Xenopus tropicalis: one gene and its partner. Each later gene encodes a partner of the first gene's protein in a complex. Links are inferred from orthologs where the notes say so. Each region holds a gene or a part of one and is shown in the gene's direction. Other genes may lie near its edges.

Region 1 (3,834 bases):
TGGTGAGCACAACTTTCCCTTTTTTTGCTATGTTTTTAATAAGTCTCTGTATTTACATGAATGTATTTACAAACTTTTGCAGGTAAATTAAAACTACACCACATTCTATGTTGTTCTGTCAACCAAGCTAGAGTTGCAGAAGACCTCTTGTTTTTGTCCTTATTAAAAAAAACATACTGTATCTTTAGTGAACTGTATATTGAATATATATAAATGGTTTAGTGGACAACCTTCGTGTTGCCTTTAAGTGTCAGTATAACTAGAAATTCTCCACAACTAAGTACATGTATTTACAAAAACGCATTCAGATTTAAGTTTCTAGGACTAAATCATTTATGAATAGTATGTGAAATATCAATATTGGCAGATCAGCATGCTATATTGTCCTATTCAGAAAAAAATGTCAGAAATCATTATATTTTAGACTTCCACGTATGAATACCCATTTGAAATCTAATTGATTTTCCCTTGAATATTGTTAAGTGTCTAAATTATTAAAACCAAATCAAGATTCAGTTTTGTATGTATACTGGAGAGTTAAAAGCCTTTTTCTAGCCGGGAATGAATGCCACCTGGGGCTTCTAATTCAATTTTTATATGTATTAAAAAGTTACATGTACTCTAAGTAAAACGACTGTAGGAATAACTATAAACTACTAAAATATTTTTCTAATTGCATGCATGCATTTATATACATATGTACAGTTTCTATTTATTATTGTAGTGCTCCTTGTGATGTACATTTTAATAGTACAAACATTGCAGTAATTATAAAAATAAATATAAAAAGCTACAAAGCTTACATCCCATGTGTTAAGATAAAAAGAAGAAAGGAGGACTCTTCTTCTTCTTTTAATGGGCTGGAGGGAACTTCTAGCCACAAATGGATAGATAGCTATGATGACTGAGACATTGCCCCATAAATGTAAAGACTGATACAATGCTAGTGTTCCAAGAGGTAGATTTCAGGACTAAGGTATTCAAGGGCAGAATCCCATAGGTAAGGGGCAGCAAGAGAAAAAGGTTTGAAATGGCATTGGATGTTGGTGGTGTGGAAGAAGAAGGCTCTGAGAGGAATGGAGGAGATGCACCAAGAAACAATGTAGACACGTAAAGTGATAAAGTGAGTTGTAGAGGAGTTAAACAGAATTGTACAGCTATACAGTGTTAGCAGGATGTATTTTGTAAGTCATTCTTTGCTTAAAGGGGCCATAATAAACATGTTAGCAGCAGGTTTTGTTTTAGGTGAGAGGAAGCTGACTGTAGCAGAAGAGTACAGAGTATTCTGAATCATCAAGATTATTAAGCTTGCCAACAGTAATATCAACTTCACCCTACTTCTCACACTGGATGTACTGGCAAGGGCACTTGCATATGGGTGAAGAGTGCAGTTGATCTACACAGGGACTGGGGGCACTCCAATGTTTTTGCATTGCATGCTAATAGGTCTAGTTTTACCCTTATCAATGAACATAGTGTTTGGGAACAGCATCTATGAATAACCCCCCATATTCTTCCTCAGTGCAGCATTTTACCCCAGAATTCTTGCTGCATTGTGATTTTTCAGTTGCAGGTGCACTGATCCTGTTGAAACTAGCACTAAGGGCACCCTGGAGCTACCTCTTGGTCAGTAGGTGGCAGTAGACCCTGGGTTCCCTTGCATCAATAGGCACAGTCGAGTGTAAGGAAGGCAGGAAGGACTGAGCAATGCCAATCACAACTATACAGAAGTGCGAGAAGCACCCTTAATGAAAGATGTTTTTACATGCAACTATCTGCAGGGGAATTGCTGGGCTGCTTTGTGGTTGTACATGAACTCTGTAGTTTAATAGAAACAAGACGTGCACTTATACAAGCAGTAAATGTATATAGATCTTTTTGTAGGTATCAGTACAACAAGCATTAGGCATAATGGGCATTGTTATATTCTAGTGTGGGACTAAATCAATCATTATGTTTCCTGCTTCTGTTTGTTGTTTTCTCAGATTTTATGTGCTTAAAAAGTAGACTTTCTATCTCTTTTCTACTTTCAACAACTAATCTCTCTCCCTCATCTTTCTTCATTAATAAACCGAACCATTGCCTCTAGCACTTGCTTTGCTTTGTAATGATTTATGCTACCCCCCCATAAGGATTAACATCACAAGATACTAATTACAATGGTATTTATGGCATACTTTTACTTACAAATCTGTATGTTGTTATGTATAATAATTGTCTGACCAGATGGTAATGTCAAATATAAAGATGCTCAGGCTGTCATCAGTTACAAACATATTGCATGAGTGAAAGCAAAGAGCCAACCCATATGCATACTCAATACTTTTAATGAATGTGTCACACAAGATCCAGACATTAGAAATGGCCTGTAATGAATGAAAGGAAACTAAAGTCACAGTCTTAACATATATTGGAAGCAGGAAAATGACAAGCATATGTGCCTTCTCTATAATTATCTGACCTTAATTGAATGCACACAAAGCAAGGTGCTTATTGAATGCCATGCTCTTTACATTTGTGTATAATAATTGATAGTATAATAGGTATGAACATAATTTTGAACATAACGTTTTCTGTTTCATGTATCACATGTTAATAATCATTGTTCTTTTTTCCTATTTTATACAGACAGCACAGACTGTGCTTGTTGTGGTTGTGGTATTTGGAATCTCCTGGCTTCCTCATCATGTGATCCATTTGTGGGTAGAATATGGAAGCTTTCCTCTCACCCAAGCCTCTTTTGTCTTCAGAATAGTTGCCCACTGTCTCGCATATAGCAACTCTTCAGTGAACCCTATCATTTACGCTTTCCTCTCCGAAAATTTCCGAAAGGCCTACAAGCAGGTATTTAAGTGCCAGATTGGTTGCGACTCCAACCAGAGTGATGCGAAAGAAATAAAAAGCAAGTTGGACACTCCACCATCAACGAACTGCACTCATGTCTGACCCAAATGAATGCCATACGCTAAAACCAAGTGCACGGTTTGGAAGCACAAATTCATCCAATCAAACTACAAGTACTTAGTCTCATTGTACAGTACATCAGTAGGTGGTGATTGCTTCAGTCATTTTCTACATCCCCTCAAAGCTATAGGTTACATTAGGTGGGAAACCAAAGACTGGCACTCTTGATAACCATGTGCATAGGAGAGAGATCTCTGTTGCTTTTAAACTGTATCATATATTATTTTAAGTCATGCAGTGTACAATGTGTGCATGTTTATCATGTGTTTTCCATGCTGGAATGCAAATATGGGATTTTTAAATATGCTAATTATATGTATATATAAACACACACTTTTAAAATATTTGCGCTGCTGGAAAAGGAAAATGTATAGACAATAATGTACCCCTATTGTAATAATGTAAGGATATTAGATATTCTATGGTCATATGAGGCCTCAATCCTTTCTGTGGATCTTGGAACTTGGAGTGGACTTCTAATATTGTCCTATTTTACAACATAGGGATACTTTTTTTAATATAATGCAAAAGCTATTTCACTCAGCACTGTTTATAGGGATATAGTTTACAGGTTATCTGTGGCTCTTGTGTATTGTAAGCATATAAATAAAAACTTTTCTGAAAATGTAAAAAATAGTGGCAAAAATGTGAACACACACACAAATTCATCAGTATATCATAATAAAGCTTCTAAAAGTTTGTATATACTATCTGTGCTTTCCAGCTGCATAGTACACAACAGGAAGGATTTTATAGTACACAAAGGTGTTGCACATATCTATGCTATGAAATAGGATTAAGTTACACTTGATTTAATGTTCTTCACCATACAGGCTAATTGTATGGGGAACATTTACTAATCCACAAACG
Region 2 (3,834 bases), on another chromosome or scaffold:
CAATATTATAAACTTACACATTCCCATAGAAGTGTGAAATGTAAAGGAAATCCAAGTCCTGACAAGATATAGCTTCTCTCTCAGTACTGACTAGGGATAACCTTGGGGTGTTGCTCTTGATCATGGTTAATCTGGAGATGTTCTTCAGGTGTTTCTTATGGGCCATGTCATACTATGCTTCCTTGTTTATTAGACCCATCCCTTTCTGAGGGATTTTATTAGCAAAACTGTGAGAGGCGATAAAGATAGCTGATGTGTGCCAGCCTAAAACAATATCAGCTTAAAAATTACTAACTGGGGTATTAATAAGTTCAATATAAATATTTATTATTTATATTTATTACATATCTATACTTCAAAAACTATCTCAATGCAGCAAGGCAAACACACTGCCCATGGCATAATACAGATATGGGTGTAAAAATTGTTATTGAAAAATCACTTTTTTTTCTTTTTATGAAAAAAAAACAATCTTTTCAATTTCAACCCCTCCAAACCTACATACCTATGCACACCTGTGCATACACTCAAATCCATAATTATGTATATATACATATAGAGAACTAACTGTAGACTTGAATATTATGCTCTTCCAAGAAGACATCCAAGCCACTCTCAAAGAGCTGTACAACATTAAACCTCATTTGCTAGTTTGCTGGTATGGAACTTGTGTTATTCTGCACAATTTGGTATCATCAGCAAAAATAGTGACAGTAAATACAATGCCAATCTCGAGGTTATTTAAGGGAAATACCATGGGCATCTTTGAGACACCCCTATAAAAAACCTGGTCAAATTAGAAAATGTTTTCTAATTTACCACCAGTTTTTGTAATTTATCCTTCAGCCAGTTCTCTATACAAGCACAAATAGTATGTTTTTGGTGAGTATCCCTTATCTTAGTAAGTAACCATCTGCTTTAGGGCTCTGGTACACGGGGAGATTAGTCGCCCGCGGCAAAACTCCCTGCTCGCGGGCGACTAATCTCCCCGTGTACCAGAGCCCTTAGCAAAACCTAAATAGAAAATATCCACTGTCTCCCCAATTTCTAATCTTCTAGGCTAGCCACTGATGTCAAACTAACAGGCCTATAGTTTTTAGAACAAGAACAGGTTCCCCATTGAACAATAGAAACACATAAGCAATTCGCTAGTCTCTTTGTACAACACCAGATATCAAAGAACCCTGGGAGATTAGTAGAGTGTCTTAAGTAATTACAGAGCTGAACCCTTTTACTACCCTGGGATGAATTCCATCAGGTCCTGGACCTTTACATTATTATAAGTCTCTTTTGAACTTCTTACTCAGTCAACCAGCCATTGATTTGTGTTTATTATCCATCAGTCCATCAGTTGTGTAAACAGATAAAATAACAGATTAAAATATCTTCTTTTTCCCTGCTCCCATCAACTAATTTACCCCCCTCTGATACCAAGGGTCTCACCACATCTTGCTACATTTTTTTTACCATTTATATATTTTAAAAAGTATGGGATTTTTATTGGCTCTGGCCTGTTAACACATATCAGACAGGCCTTATTAAAATCAGGGACAAATGGAATATAGAATGTTTCAAATAAAAAATGTTAATGTCAGTTAAATACATAAACAATCGTAATATTTTTTTTCAGATGCAAAAGTGCAACTGTCTGCTATTGGTATCTCTAGTCCTGTGTGCTACAATCTCACAGACATTCGGACTAGTTTTAACAGTAAGTTCAATTTGTGATATATTGTGGTGCATGTGTGCATGTCTCCATCCTTACTGCATTTCTTCCTTGTTGTATATGTGTAGTTCCACTTATTAAACAAAGAATTTATTTTCAGATATTGATACAATAGACCCCCGAGAAATAAAGTCCCCTTTACTAAGCAAAGTTAAGGGGCACCACAAGAAAATATTCTGAAAGGTTTATTAAACTTACCTCAGTGAGGACCCACATCAGATGACCAATAATTTTGGGCTTCCAAACAGCTGCTATCACTACTGGCCATATTATTAGGCCCTGGCTTTTGAAAGTAAAACTGATTACACACAGGAGCAATGAGATCAGCTTGGTTAGTCCATAGGCAATAACGCTACAGGGAAGCAGCTGAAAGAAGGTACTGTACAGTATGTACATGATTTCAACAGGTAACCAATCACAGGTAAAGTTAGACCAAAATATTCTGTATAGACAAGCCAAATTTTAACTGGACATGCCTTGGACTAAACTTCTATCTGCTCTGTTATGGCTGGAATGAGATTATAAAACTGTTAAAGGAGGACCTTTAATAAATTCAGCTACTAAGATAAGATAAGGCTGCAAAAATACATTATACATAGGGCTTACTATAGCTGTTCAGCACAACAGCAACTTTATAACAGTTATGAATTATATCTCTGCATCTGTTCTATAAAGCTTTTCTCTTTTCCATGATAGTAGACCATTCCACTAGTGTATTCTTAAGGGTCGCACATTCAACTTGGAACATTTTGCAGATCATTCAATAAGTTAATACTTGTAGGACACAATATATATCCTTTGTAATAAGGAAAGTGTATTTAGGTGTATATAGGTAACATGTAATCTGGCAACCTAACAAAGAGCAGGTAAACCATTCCATTTGTTTAGGAATGAGCAGCTATAAAGTAAGCATAAGTGGTTTGGGTGCTTTAACCTGTATTCCTGGCACTAACTATAGCTGTTATGTTTAGAGGCTCAGCAGAAATAAAGCCCTGGTTAACACTGCAGTTTAACTGACTGACTGGAGAGTAGCTTAAAACAAGGGCATAATAGAGGAGACAACAGACCCTGAGGCTGCAGAGAAGGGCCAGCTGGAAAATGGCTCATAGGGGTCAGTATCTGACAAACATACAACTCCATATATGTGCCCCCCCCCCATAGGACCATGTGAGTTAACTGACTCTATATCTATACTGTCTTTATGCTGGGGACGGTACCAATAGTAACATGCTGAAATATTGACCACAGATGAAACGCTGCATGTTGTTTAACCCAAATCCTGCATTTCAGTGAAGTCCCTTGGGTACAAATCTCATACAGAAAAATGGATTCAGTTAACTCATAAAAGCCAGTTGATGGGAATGCAATAGAGAAATACCGTGAGCAAGGGCACACACAAAGGGGCAGATTTATCAGAATATGAGATTAGAGCTCAGCACAGAAAAATTAACCTACTTTCTTTTCATTCCTATGGGCTCTTTAGAAGCATATTTATTTGGGTAAACATTAGAGTTCACAATTTGTTAAATAAGCTTCTAAAAATCCCGTAGGAATGAATAGAAACTAGCTATGTCATTGTAATTGAATGCAACGGGTGAATGGGCTTTTCTACACAATGAAATTGTTGTGTTTTTTTCTTTGTTTCCCTTGGGCACACAGCTATTCATATTGTGACATATGATACAAACATCTTATATTTTTTTATTACTGCTTTTTTGCTATATGTGTAGTATAATACAACCAACGTATTAATTTAAAGATTTCAATATTTCGCATAACAGGGAAAAGAAAAGCGTGGCTGGACGCTGAACAGTGCGGGATACCTTCTAGGGCCACGTAAGTGCTTAAACCCTATATACTCCACTGTATGTTTCAATGTAAAGCTTCACAGTTATCTCCGAAACTACAGTAGATGAATTAAAGTCTGATGAGCCACTGAGAGCAAAGAACAGAAAGAGTATATAGACTTAACCTGTGTTTGGGCTTTAGTGTAAATTTGCAAGTGAAATTAGAATGTAAGCTCCTCTGGCCCAAAAACTAATGAACAAAATGGATTAATCCATGTGTATGCTATCTGATATGTTGGTGCTACTTATATAATTTAGGGT

Evidence for each region.
Region 2: the proteins of galr1 (region 1) and galanin peptides are in contact, whole or in part, in a cryo-EM structure (PDB 7WQ3), measured with the Homo sapiens proteins. The link is inferred for Xenopus tropicalis from reciprocal best matches to the Homo sapiens genes GALR1 and GAL. Residues at the interface, in NP_001471.2 of Homo sapiens: Glu32, Gln92, Thr94, Val95, Tyr96, Leu98, Pro99, Thr100, His112, Gln174, Phe177, Arg180, Gln184, Phe186, Cys187, Trp188, Glu189, Gln190, Ile266, His267, Ala270, Phe275, Leu277, Ser281, Phe282, Arg285; in NP_057057.2 of Homo sapiens: Gly33, Trp34, Leu36, Asn37, Ser38, Gly40, Tyr41, Leu42, Leu43, Gly44, Pro45, Val48.

Annotation. Positions count from the first base shown.
Region 1 is NC_030682.2:98,601,413-98,605,246, reverse strand, and holds the end of galr1 (galanin receptor type 1), read left to right. Parts: intron 1-2,628; coding exon 2,629-2,946; 3' UTR 2,947-3,587; downstream 3,588-3,834. UniProt on the Homo sapiens protein: Receptor for the hormone galanin. The activity of this receptor is mediated by G proteins that inhibit adenylate cyclase activity.
Region 2 is NC_030680.2:37,077,219-37,081,052, reverse strand, and holds part of galanin peptides, read left to right. Parts: intron 1-1,630; coding exon 1,631-1,711; intron 1,712-3,507; coding exon 3,508-3,562; intron 3,563-3,834. UniProt on the Homo sapiens protein: Endocrine hormone of the central and peripheral nervous systems that binds and activates the G protein-coupled receptors GALR1, GALR2, and GALR3.